4 linked regions of the Rattus norvegicus genome follow. The protein of the gene in region 3 interacts with the protein of the main gene of each other region in a pairwise test. Links are inferred from orthologs where the notes say so. Each region holds a gene or a part of one and is shown on either strand. Other genes may lie near its edges.

Region 1 (5,041 bases), on a different chromosome or scaffold from region 3:
CCCAACAGCGCAGGAGGAGGGTTAGACGCAATGTGGCTCACCAGCTCCCTGGGAGGGATTTTATGAAGAGAAGACAGTAACATTGGCCACCACAGCCCTAACCTCAGGGTCACATTCTTGTTGGGTGGGGGCCTCAATGCATCCAAATGTCCAAGTCTTCCCCCTCCCAGGGAAAATGTCCTTCCGGATTTAAATGATTGAGGTGGCCCTTTGAGTTATATGGTACTTTTACAGTGGACCTTGCATCATGGAATTCATTTAACACCTTAAGTTTCCATAGATAGCATAGCTCATTCTGAGAAAACAGGCTAAGCTGCATGGGGCAGCAGTAGTAAAACCACTGTTGCAAATTCACTATTTCCCTCGGATGCCCTGACCACATGGAGATTCTGAGCCCCTTACCTGAAGAGACACAGGGCAGGGTTCCAGTTAACACCCCCCCCCCCCAGGTGCATCTAACCTTCCCACAAACACACTGCATTTCTAGCAGAAAACTGATGTCTTAGTTTATCTCTTGGGGTATTTGATATCAGTGTCTCTGTTGAGCACACTGGCCTCAATCATCAGTCAGACGCTAGAGTATCTGCAGGGCTTTTTCCAGAGAGAGCACTTTTTCCTGCCAAGACTTATAAACACTGAATGCTTTGGGATAATGGAAAGAGCAGACTGGAGAAGACATGACAACTACAGTGAGGAGTCGGGAATTAGATCCTGAAACAAAGCAAACAAAAGATGTCAGTGGGTGTAAGGTCTGTAATCTGGGTAGCCCTGCTGTTAGATATGATGAAGGGGAAGAGGAAGGCAGCTGTAGTCTCTCTGAAATCCTTAATCACAGGTGGGCTAAGTGCTCACCAGTGTGTGGGTTGCTGTGGACTCTGCTGCAAGGCCCTGGCGGATGCAGCCTACTTCACTAAGCAAAACTTGCAAGTGTACCAGCCCAATGCTTGGCCTTGCTATCCCTGTGCTATGGGTACAGCACACACTGCACTGCTCACCTCTGATCAGTGAACCATGATATGCTAGCTGCTTGCACTAACCCAACTAGACAGTGAAGCAGCTAAACTGAAGGGCCTAATCTCAGTGTCTGACCAGTCTCCTGCATCCTGGTGCCCTACCAAGATAGCAGAGCGGAAGAACCATCCATTCAACTGGAGGCAACCACAGAGACCATGATCTGGCACACATCCATTACAAAACCCAAAAATGTAAGGAGAGAAATTATCTGAAGACAACAGGCTCTAAAATTAAATTCCTGTTCCAGGTAAGTGGCCTTGAAAACAATCTCCGCTTACCCCATCAAAATACTTCCGAGAGTACAATAAACTCACAAGAAAACAGTACACAGCAAGCCTTCAGTTCCTGACAGAGGAGCTCATCTAGACAGCTTGGGGAACACAGGAGTGGGGCTCCCGGCCTCATCAGGGGCAGTCTCCACAGCCACCTCAGAGCCAAGCACAGCAGCTTCCGAGCAAAGGGAGACCCTTGAAGACAGATAAACAGCCCAGATAGAAGGTGTCTGCTATGTGCTCCTCCAAGTCTCTAGGTAAGAAGCTCTGGCAGATACTAGTGGGAAAAAACCATTTTAAAAACCTTCTCCACAGACCCTGGGTCCCCTGCCAGTTTCCTCTTACCTTAAGGTCTAAGTTTAAGCAATTATAATTAGCACTAGTGGAGGCCCTGCCATCCAAAGCAAGAAGCTAACACTTACCATCCACTCCTCAAAAGTGATACTAAATAAGAAATCAGAGAACTGAAAAGAACCCCTAATAGTTTCCTCAGCCCAAAGGAGAAAACGTATTGATGAAACAAACTACTGAATAAAAGGAAAAAAACAAATACATTCAGGAAAAAAAAATTTTTTTTTTTTTTGTTGTTTCGCTTTTCTCTGTGTAGCTCTGGCTGTGAACTCAGTCTGTAGACCAGGCTGGTCTCAGACTTAAGAGATCAGCCTGCATTTGCCTCCCAAGTGCTGGGACTAAAAGTGTGTGCCATTGCGCTCTGCTCAGAAACTTCAATTTTGTCTTTTTTTTTTTTTTTTCTCGGAGCTGGGGACCGAACCCTAGCAAGCACTCTACCACTGAGCTAAATCCCCAACCCCAGAAACTTCAATTTTGATTATGGATACACCACTCCCCCTCCCCCACCATTGGGTCTCACTATGTAAACGAGGTTGGCCTCAAACTTGCAAAGATCCACCTGCCTCTGTCTCCTAAGTGCTGGCATTAAAGTCCTGGGCCAATGCACAGAACAAAACTTAAAATATTAGGGCTTAAAGATAAACTGAAGCTCTTTCCTGGAATAGAAAGATGAAGAAACTCAAGTAGTGTACCCAAATGTGTGTCGCACATGGCAGGAATCCCTGAAAAAAGAAAATCGGGGTGGGGGGACAAATTCTCTTGGGAAAATCTCCCAGAGCTCAAGGACACACCTACTGAGCATACCTGTGAACTGTAAAACTGTTCCAATGCCAAGGAGACCTTAAAACCTTCCAGGGAGGAAACAGTTACCAGAAAGGAAGTACTTGGCAGAAGCTCCCTAAGGACTGAGAAGAAAGCAGACTGAAACACTGTGTCCTGAACTAACCAGGCGTGCAAAGAAAGACAGCTGGACCTACCTGGACGGGCCTAAAAGTCACTACCCCAGATTAGAAAAAGGCAGAGAGGAGGTGGAGTGAAGTCGAAGATTTAACACTATCTTCGAGAAGTTACATTGTCACCAGGAGCAGAGAAACAAAGGCCACTACAAACAACAAGGGATAAAAGCAAGGCTGTGCGGGACGGGGACATGACGCTAGGTGGGGAAGCGAGCACCAGTTATCAGCCCCGATGTAAACAGAGAGCAGAGCAGAGGCGGATGCGCCAGCCAGGGCGAAGCCACCCTACCGGGGCAGAGCGCCAAGAACTGCCGGGAGATGGGGCCACCTAGGCGGCAGGGCGGCGCGCAGGACCCGGGAGCACCGCGCGAGGCCCTGCACTGACAGACTGGGCGGCCGTGACAGGGGCGCCGGGCGCGGGCCCGGGAGGCGCCGAGGCTCCGGAGCCGAACGCGAGCGCGGCCGTCGGGCCTCGCCCGCTCGTTCGCTCCCCGGACCCCACACGCCCAGCCGGGAGCCCGCAGCCCCGGCGGGCGGAGGCGGCGCGCGGACATTCCGCGGCCCGCTGGCCCCCGCCCAGCCCGGCGTGCGGCCCGCGGCCGTTGGCAACGGTTGGCGGCGGGGCGGGGCGGGGGCGGACGGAGATCTCGCTCTCGCTCTCGCTCTCGCCCCGCGGGAAGGGGGAGTGGAGGCGCGACCGGCTGCGGGAGCTGCAATTACCGTGTGGGCTGCGGAATTCTCGTGGTGTTTGTCGGGGAGATGCGATAATGGCGTCCGTCCTCGCGAGAGAAGCAGCAGCTCTGCGCAGGCGCTGCGAGCACCTCCCCACAGCCTGCGCCGCGCCCTCAGCGCAGGCTCCCTGAGCTCGGGGCTCCAGGGAGGGGCCAGTCGGGCAGGGGGCGGAGCCTGCGCTGGGCGCCTCTTGCGCGCGCTTTCGCCGACGGACTCCAGTGAACATGCGCAGTTGTCCTCCCGTGTACCAAGAGTTGACTCAATAGGCCCTTACTTCCCCATCTCATGTCTGTGTTACTTGCTAAAGCAGTAAATACTCCAGTGGGCAATCTGAGGAATGTACGTCCTCTTTGACGGGTGTGAACGGACACTAACGCTGCCCTGATGACTACAAATCCCAGAGTACGCTGTGTAGGACACGATGCATTCTGGGACTGGTAGTCTCAGCGACTGTGACTTGCCTGCTGGGATTTGTAGTCCATCCTGATTCTGGTAGCCACATGCCTTCCCTGCCCTGAGGACTGCTGGGACTTGTAGTGACAGCAGCTCAAATGGGCTGTACGCTCCCAAACTGGTCCTACCTACTAGGCCTGGATCAATCTCGGACGTTCCGGACTCATTCAGTGGCATCGTCTCGCAAGTTGCCTGACTTCCTTAAGGATAAGCAGGTCTCGGGGACACTGTCACTGTAATAGAGATTATATGTGACATGCTTACATTATCATGCAATAAGAGCTATGAAGCATCGATGTGCATTTGTTCCCAGAAATGCCACTAATGGCGGTCTCTGAACCTAGTCTGTTGTCCATATTCCTTTCCAGGCTGGCTCCTTCTGCATGTTCGTAGTGAGCATTCCCACAAACCAGGATCCAGGAGCTATTTTAACTTAAAAAGAAAATACTTTAAGTTTCCTGTCCCCTCCCCGTGCCGATAATAAAGCCATGACTCAGTGCAGCTACCAGCTGGGCGACCTAGGGACAGCCCTTCTAAACCATTGTGCTCTGTCAAGGGATTACTTTTCCTCAGGAGTGTCTTGAAGATTTCAACCTAGAACTGTGCTGTTAAAATGAGACCTATCATTTACAGAGATGAGGATGAAGTCCGAAGAGACAGAAATTGCTGGGAGAGGCAGCAGCTGGAGCCAGAAGGGCGGGCTTTGGGCATCTGTGTGAAGTCTTAGAATTTTAATGTTGAATGCAAGTGGGGACCGGAGGGGGGTGGGGAGATGCGGAGAGAGAAAAAAAAATCCGTTGAAAGGTCAATTTTTCTTCTGGGAACAGGTTCCATCACCATGGATAGAGCCTCTGAGTAGTGAATCTCTCTCTTGCATATCTTCCTTGTGACCTCTGACCTGGGACTCTAGGATGCAGACTCCTCAATGGGCCCATACCACACAGGGCAGATACATCACACGGACCCTCTCACAGTCCCGTGTGACCTCCTTGTACAACCTGTTTGCTAAAACTACCTCAGGAAATTTTTTTGCGGGGTTGGGGATTTAGCTCAGTGGTAGAGCGGTAGAGCGCTTGCCTAGCAAGCGCAAGGCCCTGGGTTCAGTCCCCAGCTCCGAAAAAAAAGAAAAAAAAAAAAAAAGGAAAATTTTTTGCACTCAATCTTAGCCAAAAGGTAAAGGAGTCACAGAAAATCTGCATGGATCATACCCTGGATTTCAATTGGATTTCACTAAAGTCCTTAGCCTGCAGGGTCCTTTCCTTT
Region 2 (5,191 bases), about 18 Mb from region 3:
AAGAATTGGGCTACCTGAGGACTCAACACAGAAGCAAGTCTTGGCTGACTGTCTTAAGGATGTGAGAAATGAGTAGAGGCAAGATGAACCACTTGTCAAGGCCTCCATCTTGGGAAGTGGCTCTGCATAGTGGGGTGGGGGAGGGGGGGAGGGGTAAGATGCCTCAAAGATCAGAGAGATTCCATGTCAGCTAGTAGGTGGACAGGGTAACAGTGTTCTTCTCTTACTCAAGGCCCTCCAATTACACAACTCATCTCCATATGTCTATACAAAGGGGCAAGTGCGACTCCAGAGTGCTAAGAGCAGAGGTCATGCAGATAGGCACACCCCATCACACAACTACAAACCCCAAGTCAGCTCCAGGCCAGCCCTTCACACTTAAAATACTAACTTTCCCCAGAAATCTGTCTTTTTAACAGAGAAAAGAAATCCAAAGCGGGGCAGTGGTGGTGCTGGGATTGGTGGTGCTCACCTCTAATCCCAGGACTGGGAAGGTAGAGGCAGGCCGGTCTCTTTGAGTTCAAGGCCAGCCTGGTCTACAGAGAGAGTTTCAGGATGGCCAGGGCTATACAGAGAAACCCTGTTACCTTCACCCCCTAACCCCTCCACCCCCAAAAAAGAAAAACAAAAAAAAACAAAAAAAGAAATCTAGGGCTGGAGAGATGGCTCAGCGGTTAAGAGCACCCGACTGCTCTTCCAGAGGTCATGAGTTCAATTCCCAGCAACCACATGGTGGCTCACAACCATCTGTAAAGAGATCCGATGCCCTCTTCTGGTGTATCTGAAGACAGCTACAGTGTACTTATATATAATAAATAAATAAATCTTTAAAAAAAAAAAAAGAAATCTAACCAAAAACAAGGGATGGAAGGAGAGAACTGTCAGAAGGCACTTTATAGTTCCCACCCCTCCCCCCAGGCCCTGCAAACCAGAGATAAGGAAGCAGCAAGCAGTCAACTAGAAACAACTGGAGTATCTCCCCATGCCCCTCCCCCTCAGGCACAACCAGTACTCAAAAAAACCTAAAGCATTTCTTTGTTGCCATGGCACAAAAATGGTCTTCACAGACCATTAGCCAATATTTCAGTGACCAGACTGTCAAGTTGAAGGCCAACAGTCCCCACTGTCATCCTTATTTGGTCAGCAGTCTGTGAGGAATACCAACCATAATGCCCTTTATCATAATGCTAGAGGCTGAGGCAGGAGGATCTAAACCAGTCTAGCTACATTTTGAGAGGTCCTCTGTCAAAATCAAACAAAACAAAAATTACAAAAAGAAACAAATGAAAAACAGGTTACAGCCGGCCTTCACACTCCACCAGACAGTTAAGGTCAGACGGTTAGACGGGGCTACAAGACATCCTATCTCAGACAAAACACAAAACCAACAAAGAAGCTGAAGGGTGGTAGTACACGCTAGTTCACACACTCTGGAGGCACAGCCAGGCAAATCTCTGAGTTCAAAGCCAGCCCAGTGAAAAACCTGTCTCCAGAAAACAAAACAAAACAAAACAAAAACTAGAACCAAGCCCAACAAATATAACAAAATACCTTTTCCCACCCCTCTTTCACGGATATCTCAAAGTCATTCCCCTCCAAAAGATCTCTCATCTCAGACTTCCATAAGACAGTGCCACTAACTACTTTCTGTAACCCGGTAATACTTCCGTTTACTTCTGATTATGTCACACCTGAGGATGGGTCTGTGTTTCTTCCCCAGTCCCATTTCAAGCTCAGGAGAAACACACATCAGAATTCAAAAAAGCCTAAATACTAGCACTAGTGATTTGGTCAGCAGTCCTGACAGTGTAGAGAAACACTACGGGTGAAGAGTGGAGAGATTAATTGTACAGGGGGAAACTGCAGCAGCTCATGTGGTTGTAGGAGACGGAGAGAAAGGTGACATTTACACTTAGGGACTGAGAAACTCTCCCACATCAACTGTTGCCTTCCTTTCAGGCCATACTTTGCCATTTCGCCAGGTCCCCCTTTGAATGAGATCCTAAGAATATTCTGGTCCTTCCCGTGGGTGAGATGGCTAGAAAGTGGAGAACGTCAGTAGTGGCAGTGTCATGAGAGTATAACCTGTTCTCATTTCTTCCCTGCCTGTTCTCCACCCAGGCTTTAAAGTTCAAGAAGGGCGTTTTCTTGAGCACCCCAATTTCCAGGTCATCTCAGTTGCCCTCCTGAGCTCTTGCCTCAAGGAAGCCAGGTGATGACATGATGCCCTACTTGACCCCAGCATGCCTGGCATCTGCTCATTAATCCAGAGCCCTATTAGTTCCCTCCCTGTCCAGAGACGCTCTAAGACTCACTCCTCTGCCACCCAGCTTCAAGCTGACTCATGGGGAAGGACTGCAGGGAGAGGGGACAGGCCAGTATAAGCCAAACCTCGCCCTCTACACTGGGGATGGGCAGCAGCTGGCATTAAACAGCTGTGCCAGACTGTGGCTGCCAAGGACTACAGCTCCCAACATGCCGAGAGCAAGGTCAGCAAAAACAACAAGTCCCAGAATACCATGAGGTCTGTACCCTCAGATACTTGTTAGACTTGGGAGGTGGGAGAGGTTGTGGTACAGGAAGAACACCTAGGCTCATTCTATCCTTCCCTTCAGTTTCAAGACACCCATTTTTACCCTAACGAGGTGGGGGAAGAATTCCTATCCATGTGTTTTCCACTCTTATCCTAGGCAGAGTTCCGCTGCTCACTGCTGTACATTTTGTCCTCATACATGTCTATACACGCTAAGGTGACTGTTCCCAAGACCACTGCTGTGAGTAGAAAGGTCAATCTCTGCTTTTCACCTTCCCTCCCTCTGACTCCTGGCCTAGAGCCCTTCACCCTTAATAGAGAGGGAGCAGACCTCAGGGACCCCTCCAAACTCAGACACGGAGACTCACCTTGGCTCCTGGACTCCTTGTCCTGGACGATTTCCCCCCCACCCCCTGCTCAGCCTCCCAGGTCGGTTCTCATCCCTTCTTCACAGGCTGGGACAGGCCCCATACCGTGCAGAGGTTTTGGAGATCTGATCCTTCCACCTAGTACACACTCACCCCACTCCCAAATTGGCTCCGCCGCGGTGGCCGCTGCTCCGGGCCCTTCCGTCCCGTCCCCGTTCCGATCCCTGTCCCTCCCCTCGGATAACCAGTCCCCCCTACTACGGGCCCCCAACCCAGACAAAGGGTGGCTTAGGCTGAGAGCCTTGCTCTGCTTGGCTCTTCTCTGATCAGCTTCGTGTGCAACACTAGCGGGCTCTGGCGTACGCAGCCCCTCTAGCTGCTGTTGCACCCCTCCCTGCGACGGTCCCTCCCCGGGGCCGCCCCGGCTCCTCGCCGCAGACTCAGCTGCCCCTCTGACTCACAGGCCATTTCCTACCAGCTGATGGGGCCGCCCGCCCCGCCCAGCGCCCAGCCACCCCCAGCACTGCGACCACGGCTGCCACGCCCCCCTCAGACCACACCCTCCAAGGGCAACAACTATGTTCATTGGTCCAGTGGAGGCCAGCCTCTCAGCAACCTCAAGCGTGAGTCACGCCCTCTCCAAGGGGCGCACGCCTATTGGTCCACATAAGGGCAGGCCTACCCAATGTCGCCCCGCCCACCTCCTTAACCCTTTTTTCTGTCCAAGTCCTAAGCAATTCTCTGCCCTGTCATTTAACCTCATTCAGACTTCATCCTCTCAGCGCTCAACAAATCTTTCTCCTCCACACTTCCTGTTCTTAAGTAAATTAATAGGAAGCTCCAGGGCTTTCACAGATACAGTTCAACAATCTCCAACTCATACCAAACACAACCACACATAACCCCAAGCCCATTCATCCCCCCACCCCATCCCGAAATAGAGCTCCAAGAGCGTTGTTGCTATCTAGTAAGCTTTCTACAAAAGCAGGCAAAAAAAGACCTAAAGTCGTACCGTATCTCCATCCATACTGAAAGATGGCATTCGCACCCCCCTCCCTTTTGCCTTTGTTTGGAGACCCCAGGAGGCTCCTGAGATAAAAATACATTTAAATTTCAGGGATTCAGGCCTCATCCGTTGGGCTCAAAACTCTTCACGGATCAGGCTTTGGAGCACTCTTTGCTAACAGACCTCTGCTCCAAGGAAGCAGAGTATCCTCAGCAGTGAGTTAAAAGGCCTTCTGCCCAGAGTCAGTCTGGAGACCAAGTTAGTCTTCATGACTCACAGCTCCCTCGAAACTCACCAAGCTCCCCTTGAGTCACTGGGCCCCAGGCCCAGCCCAGAGCCAGCCAAATTAAGCAGTAGCAGAATAAGCATCCCTAACCTTTGTCCTTAGCTCTGTAAATAATCGGGGTGGAATTTTTGCAAGGCCTGGACATTCATAGACACTTTTTAGAGGGACTGCTCTGGAGATAACCTGAGAAGATGGGTAGCCTTGTCTACCTTGTCCTCTGAACTTATCAGTGGGTCAGACAGGTTGTCACCAACTCAGGCCTTTTCTCAGTCACAGAAATGGAACAAACAGCAGAACCAAAAGAAGTAAAGGCCTGTGCTTTGCCTATGCGATGAGCCCCAAGGACCATTCGTTTATTGCTGCACTGTAAAAAGAGCCCTCCCCTCCCCCTCCCTACTTCCTCTCTGGGTTCTACAAGTAATACAAGCAAACAACAGTCCTCTAGGATTCTTTCTCCTTACCTCTAATGAGTAGGAAACTCTTAAAAAAAATAAAACAAACCAGCTCCCTAAGATTGAATTCCCTGTATGAAGGAGCAGGATTTTAAAGTCTCAAAGCCCTAAACACAAGTGAAGAATCAATATGAGAATGTATTTGCCTCAGCAAAGCTCACTAGGAAGACAGAAAGACAGAATATCTTAGGAATAATTCTCAGCAGCCCTCCTTTGTTCTGTCTAACTATAATTTCAGGCTTTAGTTTTCTACAAAGATCAGAGTGGGAACACTAAAGGAGTCAGGATAAAAAATGTTCCAGGCCTCAGTATGCCCTAGGGAAAGGAGCATAGTTCAGTCATGCATGAGGTCATACCTAGTTGCTCTAAATCTTAGCTTGCATTTTTTTTTCTTTTTTAGAGTCAAGGCCTTGCTATATAACCTAGGCTGACCTTGAACTCATGATCCTCCTGCCTTGCCTCCAGAGTGTTGGGATTACAGGTCACTGTGGGGGTTTGTTGTTTCTGCTTTGTTTCTTTGAGACAGAGTTTCTAGTAGCTCAGACT
Region 3 (5,280 bases):
GAAATGTATATAAGAAATACTCAAGTTAATAAAAAAAAATTTTTTTTTAATCTGACCATCAGAAAAGTATTAGATAAAATTAGAGTACAGCTGTTCAAATTAGAAAAGTTTTTGATCAAAGGTTAGAAGCTTCTGTCACAGTATAATTATAAAAATGTTCCCGGAATAAACAAGCATGTGTAATTTAATTGTAGAACTAGAAATCGCTTTAAAAACAGAATCTTAATTTAGACTGCATAGCACCCTAGTGTCAACTGCATTTACATTTTCCCAAGTGACAGTTACATCACATAGCTGCTAAAGAAATGTTAACCTTTATGTGTAGAGAACATGCACATATTAGAAGCATTATTAGTTCTATACTGGCAGGAATTTAACCCTCTGCCCATAGTAGCATCAACTGAATTGCATGTCAGTATAGGATTGCTAACATTTTTTAAGAGTGCTAACACTTCTGACAAGAGTATTAAATCTTTCTTTTTATAGACACAGGACTTTATATCTACCTATAGTCTGTTCATTCATGTATTAACAACTCATCTACTCATCAACTAGATTATGCCAGTGCAGCACTGCAGAAAAACCTGGTTAAGATGTTCATCTCTTTTTAACGTCTAGCGCTGAGGACCACCAGAGGTGCTCTTTGAGCACCAGCCATCCAGTCCAAGAGTTATCCTTGCCCTTCAGTGAGGCCTGTAGACTAATAATGTTAGCATCCCCAGAACCTACTTTGAATGCAAAACTGTCATGAGTGGGGATTGGGCTCATGAGGACTCAACAAGAAGTTGACGGAGTTGGGGGTAAGGTGGGGGGAGTTATTCATTCTGCTAGAGGCAGAGGGGTTTGTTGAAGGGCTAATGTTAACAAGTGAAAAAAGATGAGAGTAAGAGAAGCAAAAAGGATTCTATCCTGTGTCTGGACTGAGTCACGAGGTGGATCATGATATCTTTTTAAAGGAGTATACCTGAGAAACATGCTATTTGAAGCAAAGGGAAGAAATTAGTTGGCTTGTATGAGGTTTGAGAATGCATCAGACAAACAAAGGGAGATGTACAGCTGGGGCCAAAGAGGCAACTGATGGAAATAACGTAAGTTACCAGGGCATATTATTTGGAAGGGGTCTTATGTTGTCCCAGTCAGGATCTCTAGCAGCTTTGCCCTGGATGCCCCCACAGCATCCAATTCATTATTGTTATTCTGAGAAGAGTCCGTAAGTCACAAATAAGCTCACTGTGATCTGATTGGGTAGTGCGTACACTTCTGAGCTGATAATTTTAAGAGGATTCGAGGTACTTTGAGGGAAACATTCCTCATTCACTCCCTATCCTCTGTAAAGGTCCTTCCAGTGGTTACCCAAGTAGCAGACAGGCATATGATATTTATAAGAGCAATGAAATGCAAGCTTAGTTTAACTGATAGCTGATTCCATGCTGCCTGTATTGAAAACCATCAAAATAATCAACGCTTTCCTAAAATGTTCTATAAAAACACATACTTTCAGTATAATAAGTAGAAAATACTTTAGGTTTGCCTAATCCAAATTAAGTCTTTACTCAAAATACTGCTGTGAGCAACCATGTCAGGAATGAGAGGAAATTTTATCAATGAGGTACCATTTCATTAGACAGAACTGGCATTCAGCTAATGTCAGCATGAGACATCTATAGAACCAGAAAGCAGACGTGAGTATACCTTCTCCATCAAGCGATTTGGCTTGTGATTTCAGGCATTTATCTTAACATACATCCTTAGAAATATCTTGTCTGCGATTTGTGTTAAGTTTGCAAGGATTTACACATGACAGTGTTGTAAATCTGAAATAGTGGCCAAAGCCACTCAATGCTTTTTCTTTCATTATAGGTGCAAGAATTACACATTTTATTGATGTTTTAAGCTCCCACATTTCTATACTCCAAAACAGTCAGCATGCTGAGTTTGCCTTCTAATGGATGGCAGGTACCAAAGAAGTATGACTGAAAATGGAGAGAGACGAGCACATTTTGCCTAAATAATGGAATCTTAATGTCAAAAAATAGCACTTCAGATGCAGGGCTTCATATACTTACTTATGTGGGTGGGACACGGAGTCATTTTACTTCTGTCCTTTGGAACAGATTAGGAAATTGCTCAATGCCCACTTTTGGAGAGAATTAAGATTCTTCTAGAAAACAGGCTTCTGGTTACCTTATTTACACAAAGGCTTTAACATGGGGTTCTGTACTTAAACACTTTAACATGTTCTGTATAAGAAATTCAGTCATGAAACATCCCCACAATAACGTTATTCACTCAAATAAATTATACAGAATAAAGACTTGGACTATTTCCCCTTCCCCCCTCTTATGAAAATAAGCATGTCCATGTATTAAGGAAGATCACAAACCCAGAGAGGCAATTCCAGTTATCTGCCACTGTGCTGCATCCATGAGTTTCATCAAAATGAGAAATCTGTAAAACCCAGAAAGAAGAAAGAAGTACCAATCGGCTCTTATTGCTAAGAGTTCACGGTTTGCACACATCCTCCAAGCAAAAGTTTATATTACGAATTTTCTGGAAAGTTTGTAAAACTCTCATTCTTAAATTTTAAAAGCCAAAAAAAAATGCCATATAACCAAACATAAAGGAAGCAGCGGGGAGAAAACTCACTCTTTCTTCAGCTGCTTTTTCCTTTTACTTTACAGTCTAGGAGAACAGATGGTGGGTTCCCTTCTCAATCACAGACAGGTCGACTCCAGAATGAACAGAGTTCTTGTCAGCATTACTTGAGGGCTGCTCCTTGCAGCCTTTCAATTTTGTAGGAAAAAATAAATTCTCTCCTACAACTCTGTGACACGTACCCAAGACTCCTCCTAAGCCAAAAACCACCCGTGGTCCATTCTACTTAAAATCACAAGGAAAAAGTTCCCTTCAGAATATCCTTAAAGGGAAATTTGACTAGTGTTAGCATCTGAAGTATCTGGCAAAGCCACAAAGTTTAAAATATAGAACATTTATGCAGACACACACACCCTTGAGAATTTCCACTGACTAAGTTCAATTAAGGTCATGATTGTAAACAAAGTGTTCTCCGAAAATATGTATTTTGTATTTCCTTAATCGATCCATTTTTGGTTTTGTTTTCTGGTAGCTATGAAACTCCTCCTTTTGGTGGGAAACAACTGAAGTGCAGATCTAGTCTGTTGAGCTGTTCGGGAGGGATGAGGAGAACTCTTACCTTTGGAGTTCTTTGTAGAGCAGCAGATGAGATGTTCTTTCTTGCCGCGATCAGTTCTTTATTGGGAAATGTGAGAACTCTTGAGTGTTGGATTTGAATAAAATAACTCAGGATAGTTACCTGCTTTCTGAACTGTCAGTGTGGTTGGACCTCTGCCTGGGCGCCCTGGCGGACCTTCTGATTGTTATGTCATGATCCACACTGTGTGACTTCATGTGAGCTCAGCTGGTTTCTTGAGATCCTCAAAATATGAAGTGTCCAGAGAAGTCAGATAATGTCAGGAGAGAGGTTTGTTTTTTGAACTAATCCATCCCAAGAATTCTCAGTGGGTCACGCTGACCTATATGACAAATGGGAACTGTTCTTAGAATTTCCATTCGAGACCATTCTTTCAGTTTAGAAGGTTGGAGAAAAGAAGAAATGCTCTGTCTGTCACATCCCCATATTGTTTCCCAACCACACTTACATGTTTGTTGCTTTAAGCCATAAAGGCACATGTAAATATTTCTCGAAATCAGACTCAGCTAAATATAACCAAAGGACTGGGGACTGGGGACAGGAAATATGGGGCCAATTAACTGCTTTTTTTATTCACATGGATTTGTCACATGAAGACAAAACATTAGGATTAGCAAGAACAAAATCTGATCAGCAAATGTGTATCTGCCTTTCACTGGTGATAGAATCGAGTACTGCTAAACTGGCATTTTCTTCCACTTATAAGAAAGGAATCCATCTTGGTGATGTCACAGTGCCTCTCCCCATCAAGTTATGAGGCAACTGACTTCTGGATTTACCCATGCACTTTTCAAAAGGATAGTTTTCAGTCTGATTCAACCTCACTGATCCCCTCAATTTATTTTTTACTTGAACTGCTCCAGCAGAAGGAAGAAGAAAATCTTTAGGGTCATGCAATACGTTGAGTAGAATCTCTGAGAGCACTGTCAGATTCTACAGGAAGTTCTGGCTAGGCCTGTTCTTGAAACCTGCTTCCTTACTTTCCCTAAGTTAGACTTCGGTTTCCTCTCACCTAAGTTAGACTTCCGGTTTCCTCTTTTTTTTCCTGGCGGTTTATTCTTGGTTCCGTGTTTTTCTGTGAATTCCAGTGTTCCTTATGAGACTCTTTACATGTTATGACCAGCAGATCTTTAGTGTTATCTGACATGACTCTAATAGGCACCTTGTGATTTGCTGGAATCTTTGGGGTTTGTAGCCACCGAAGTCCTGAATGAAACCTTTTATCTTCTTAGCCCTAGTCTCTTAGTACATGGCACTGCCATCCACCCATCATCTTAGGTTCCCTCGCCTATACTCCACCCGCCTCTATTTCTAGCCCTTCTGTCAGATGTCATTTAGTAAATGACATTTCTTAGAACATATCATTATCCTTTCATTTTAGTCTCAACCTAACTATATAAATTGCTTTATCAACCATAAGCACTTGCCTCTGCCCTAGTGTGGTTCCTTCTACCCTTTCTTTATATTAATAAAAAGTAACATTTGCTTTAAAATGTGTTATTGATTTATGAAAAATACATGTTGCCTACATTCTGGAAGAAACAGAATTTAAAATTTCTTGCATGCTTAGGAACAGGCATAACCTCAGTATTTACATTTCTCTAGAATTTTGTGTGGATTATGTATAGGGGAAATATTTAGGTATTTGTATAAATAAACACAGCTTCAGAGGTACACACTATACTTAAATAAGAAAAGATCAACTGTAAGCTATACAGAAGAGTTCCCATTGCTAGGTTCACAGATATAAAGGCAAATTAAAGAAAAAGCTTATGTATTAGTTTTCCATTGCTGTAAAAAAAAAGACCATGTCCAAGGCAACCTATAGAGGGAAGAACTTAAAATTCGAGGTGTAAGAGTACATTCCCATCATAGCAGGCAAGTATGGTGGCAGGCAGGCATGGTGGCTGAAGCAGTAAGCTGAGACCTCACGTCTAGGCCCCAAGCCAGAAATAGAGCAAAAGAAGTAGCATGCAGCTCTTGAAACTTCAAATTCTGCCCTCATTGACCTTTGGATACACACCCCAAACCTACCCAAGGAGGACTGC
Region 4 (4,482 bases), on a different chromosome or scaffold from region 3:
CCTTGTGGTATGACTAAATTGGCTAATTAAAATATGTATTTTATATCATCTTTTCATGCTGGAAACACTTTAAATATGCTAATTCTACACAAACTTTTAGAATTTTCAAGAGGAAAATATACCAATCTTCCTTTTTTCTCCTCTTCTTTCTTGGCAATTTTCTAGAGAAGATTTTTTGAAGCTCAAGCTGGCTTCAAGCTCATAGTATATTTAAGAATGTCCTTGAATTTTATGTGCTTCTGTTTCTGCCTTCAAATGTTGGGGTTAGAGGATTTCACCACTATACCGGGTTTTATGTGATATTGGGGATCAAATATACGGCGTTGTACATGATGAAAATACTCTCTCAACTGGGCCACCTCCCCACCACCGTGCTGTTCCTACCTGGACTCACCACGTAGCATGAAGGAGCTACATGTCGTTTTCATGCTTGATCTTCTTAGTTTTTTTCCCCCATGTCAAAGTCTCATGTAACATGAAGTTTTGTGAACCTACTTCCCCTAAACCTTAGAGCTAATGACTAAATATATTGACAGAAGACATGTTTAGAGATTTGTCATTTTAGTTTTCTCATTTTCTTTAGTTGTCATATCATTGCATTGTTCCTGGTTTTAAAAGTGAAATCATGCTGTAAATTCTGATACTTTTATTTTTACCACTCTTATCCATCCATCCATCCATCCATCCATCCATCCATCCATCCATCCATCCACTCACCCACCCACTCACCCATCCACTCACTCACTCACCAGTCTATCTTCTATGTGGATGTGTCTTTGGGTGCATTCCATAATGTCTACTTGTAGGTTAGAGGACAACTAGTGGGAATTTGTTCTCTGTGTGTTATGTGGGTCTTGGGACTGAACTCAGGTTGTCAGGCATAGTGGCAAGTGCTTTTATTCACTGAGCCATCTTACTGGTTTTTTAAATATAAATTTGTTTTGACTTCAGAATCTTTAAACTCTAATATAAGCCTTATAATATAAATTCTTCTCTTAACAACCCTGGTTTTACTGATTTGTTTATATAAGCATTCTTCTTCGGACCTATCTAATGCACTAACTTTTTTAAAAAATTTACATTTCAAATGTTATCCCCTTTCCCAGTTTCCCATCCATAAATCCCCTATCCCATCTCTCCTTTCCCTGCTTCTATGAGGGTGTTCTGCCACCCACCCCTTCCTGCTTCCCCACCTTCCCCTACCCTGGGGCATTGAGCCTTGGCAGGACCAAGGGCTTCTCCTTCCATTGATGCCCAACAAGGCTATCCTCTGCTACATATGCATGCAGCTGGAGCCATGAGTCTGTCCATGTATACTCTTTGGATGGTGGTTTAGTCCCTGGGAACTCTGGTTGGTTGGTATTGTTATTCTTACGGGGTTGCAAACCCCTTCAAACCCCTTCAGACCTCTTCAGCTCCTTTAATCCTTTCTCTAAGTCCTCCATTCAGGAACCTGTTCTCAGTTCAGTGGTTGGCTGTGAGCATCTGCTTCTGTATCTATCATGCTCTGGCAGAGCCTCTCAGCAGACAGCTATATCAGGCTCCTGTCAGCTTGCACTTCTTGGCATCAGCAATATTGCCTGGGTTTGGTGGCTGTATATGATGCCGTAACTTTTATACCCAGTTTAGGCCAATGATAATGTAGAGAGAGAGCACTAAATTGAGTAGTTTTTCTGCATCTGTTATGGCCTTACTGATATCTGTACTTACAAGAACACATTCAGGTTTGGGGTTTTGGGTCTTAAGTGTTTTATGCATTTCCCTTTCCTGTGAAGCCTTACTTGGTATTCCAAGTACTCTTCTATTGAATTTTTGTAGTTTATTATCCATTCTATTCCTTGTTTTCCTCTCCATACAAACACTAAGCTGAGTTCTATGCACAGACTCTTAATCACCATTTTTGAGTGAAATGAAGACCATACATGTTATGATGCATTTCAGAAAGTCTTGTATTATAGGTAGCAACAATTGCAGAGACAGATGATTCTGCAGACTCAGAAGTAATCGATTCGCATAAACGTAGAGAAATTCTTTCACGAAGACCCTCATATAGGTGAGTTAACTAACTTTCCAACTGGAGTATTTCCACCCAAAAAACCCCACAATAATTATAAAGCCAAGCAATTATTCTTTATAGCTTTTTGTTGTCTCTTTCTATATCCTAATTGCTTATATTTTTATATTATATTTTAGAAAAATACTGAATGAACTTTCCTCTGATGTGCCTGGTATTCCCAAGATTGAAGAAGAAAAATCAGAGGAAGAAGGGACACCACCTAACATTGCTACCATGGCAGTACCAACTAGCATATATCAGACTAGCACGGGGCAATACAGTATGTATGCTACAATTCCATAGACACAGTGCTAGCTTTAAGTCTTCCTATTACAGTGAAGCGGTGTGGGTGTGGGCATCCAAATGTTTCATTAACAACTGTGAATCATTAACAACTGTGTGTCACAGAATAAAAAGTGCATGTTAAAGCAGTAAGATATTTGTACTGACAGCTGAAAAGTCTTTATTGCTGAGTGTGCATGATAAGTGGTTAAAAATTAAAGAAAGGGTTCCTATTTACATGTTTATATTCCTCTCAAGTAACAATTTGAAAAGTTCTTGTTTTTGTTGTCTTTCTGCTATAAATGTCTGTATTTCATTGTCGATGGCATTTGTTGCCAGCGACTTATTATACTTAATCATATAATAAGAGGTAAATATGTTTTCTAAGTTGTGCTTTAAATGTAATTTCATTTCATTACTTTGTTAATTTGTGCTGCAGTTTTTCTAAAAGAACAAAAAATTATTTAACTTTCAAACTGTAGCAATTGGATAGATCATTTTATTTGAACTTTACACACTGGAAGCTCTAATAAACAGATACATTGGCATTTAGACTTGTGCATTTTAATGTATTGTTACTTCTGTGCTTTTTGAAATTCTTACTAAAGCACTAATGATTTTCCCAAGTCAAGCACATTTGACAGACAAGAATAATGCGACCTAGAAAGCAAAGTAGAAAGGAAGAAAGGAAACCAGAGGAAACAACTTCTTGGGTCTTTGGGGATGTATGTAATGTTATATACTGTGTCTAAATAAAGTGCAAAGACTATAATGTAGTCTTACCTGCAAAGTCTCAAGACTTGGCTATTAAACATGTTATCTCCTTTTCTGTATGGAAGATCTTATGTAGGAGTTGTTGTTGTTGTTTGTTTCTTAGAATTTCTCCTGTGGTGATAGATATTTGTAATAGTAAATTAAGTCCTGTTGGTAATTTTGGGTAGCTATTGTCATGACCTGTCAAAGATGGGTATAACTTGTCAATACTCTGCTGGATGCTGAATGCACATGTTCAAAATGAGTGTGAAGAAAATTCCCACAACCTTTTGTTTCTGTCTTGGTTTCTTTGTACTATTGGGACTATGTGGTGAATGTTTTAGGTCTGTAAACCAGGGCTTGCTAGCTTTTGTGCCTCTGTAGTACAGTCTAGGTTCCTGGAGTGCAGACAGCTCCTCAGCTCTGCGTCCCTAGATAGGCTGAGCAGGTCTAGGAGGCTAGAGCCTCTCTACTGATCCTCAGCCTTGAGCAACTTTGCCCATTTACCCAGTGCGCAGTGGGCTGTTCATGCTATTGTTTTCTGTTTGTGCTTTGACAGGGGAAAGTTTGGAAAATACTGCTGAAAGAATGTTAATACAAAGTTTTGGAGAGAGGCTAAGAGGATGTTATCTTGGCATTTCTCTGGCATGGCCTGAGACTACATAGGACTTTTCATGGCGGCAATGATCTATTAACAGGGAACAAGGGAAGTTGATGCTGTGGGTTAATTTGCCTAGATTATTACCACTAAATGTGACATAGTGAAATGAAAGCTAGGAGAATGTTGAAGCTGGAGGGAATGTGGTGAAGGGCTTTGGTGTTTGCTTCTGCTCACTCAGTGATCAGATCAAGAGGCATCTCAGGCTTTAGTCTTGAAGTGGGAATAATTTCAGGGGCCAAACTGTGGGGTATATGTGAAGACAAAAGAAAAGCATAGGTCAAAGTGGGGAGAAAAAGATGTGCAAACACTGGGAGGAGACAAAGGAGTTTGCATTAGTTGAGACGATCTTGTTCATGCTCATTCAGCCTCTCCTTTCAGTGAGCTTCTGTGCCGCAGCTGCAGAGCTCCCAGTGTCTACACTTGACTTTCTAGTCACTTTATGTAGGCTGCAAGGTGGGGAAGAGTCAGAAGTTCCAGGGGTAACGAGGCAACTGTTAGAAATTCAGCAGAATAATCTCTATACTTCATTAGGGAATATTTATATATACTATTATACATACAAGATCCATTGTAATTAATCTTCTTACTATTAAAAACTCAGCAGGTTTTGATGCATTTATGTTATATATTAAATATTTAAGAATAGAAAAAGCTGCTAGCATTCCTTGAATTTTAGAATAGTTTGACTAGAAGCTCTGTATATTTTTCTATGCATTGTTTTGAGTCACCC

Evidence for each region.
Region 1: the proteins of Fhl5 (region 3) and Banp interact in binary tests that used the Homo sapiens proteins (3 or more experiments, as listed by UniProt). The two-hybrid records come from large-scale screens. The link is inferred for Rattus norvegicus from reciprocal best matches to the Homo sapiens genes FHL5 and BANP.
Region 2: the proteins of Fhl5 (region 3) and Atosb interact in binary tests that used the Homo sapiens proteins (3 or more experiments, as listed by UniProt). The two-hybrid records come from large-scale screens. The link is inferred for Rattus norvegicus from reciprocal best matches to the Homo sapiens genes FHL5 and ATOSB.
Region 4: the proteins of Fhl5 (region 3) and Crem interact in a two-hybrid assay, tested with the Homo sapiens proteins (2 studies listed by BioGRID). The link is inferred for Rattus norvegicus from reciprocal best matches to the Homo sapiens genes FHL5 and CREM.

What each region holds. Positions count from the first base shown.
Region 1 is NC_086037.1:66,914,815-66,919,855, reverse strand, and holds the start of Banp (protein BANP), read right to left. Parts: upstream 3,396-5,041; 5' UTR 3,335-3,395; exon of another isoform or gene 3,314-3,334; intron 3,021-3,313; exon of another isoform or gene 2,883-3,020; intron 2,875-2,882; exon of another isoform or gene 2,615-2,874; intron 1-2,614. UniProt on the Homo sapiens protein: Controls V(D)J recombination during T-cell development by repressing T-cell receptor (TCR) beta enhancer function. Binds to scaffold/matrix attachment region beta (S/MARbeta), an ATC-rich DNA sequence located upstream of the TCR beta enhancer.
Region 2 is NC_086023.1:62,061,282-62,066,472, forward strand, and holds the start of Atosb (atos homolog protein B), read right to left. Parts: upstream 3,333-5,191; 5' UTR 3,055-3,332; intron 3,042-3,054; exon of another isoform or gene 2,902-3,041; intron 606-2,901; exon of another isoform or gene 15-605; intron 1-14. UniProt on the Homo sapiens protein: Transcription regulator that may syncronize transcriptional and translational programs.
Region 3 is NC_086023.1:43,749,773-43,755,052, forward strand, and holds the start of Fhl5 (four and a half LIM domains protein 5), read right to left. Parts: upstream 3,331-5,280; 5' UTR 3,215-3,330; intron 2,844-3,214; exon of another isoform or gene 2,647-2,843; intron 2,449-2,646; 5' UTR 2,384-2,448; intron 1-2,383. UniProt on the Homo sapiens protein: May be involved in the regulation of spermatogenesis. Stimulates CREM transcriptional activity in a phosphorylation-independent manner.
Region 4 is NC_086035.1:58,968,105-58,972,586, forward strand, and holds part of Crem (cAMP-responsive element modulator), read left to right. Parts: intron 1-1,958; coding exon 1,959-2,053; intron 2,054-2,193; coding exon 2,194-2,336; intron 2,337-4,482.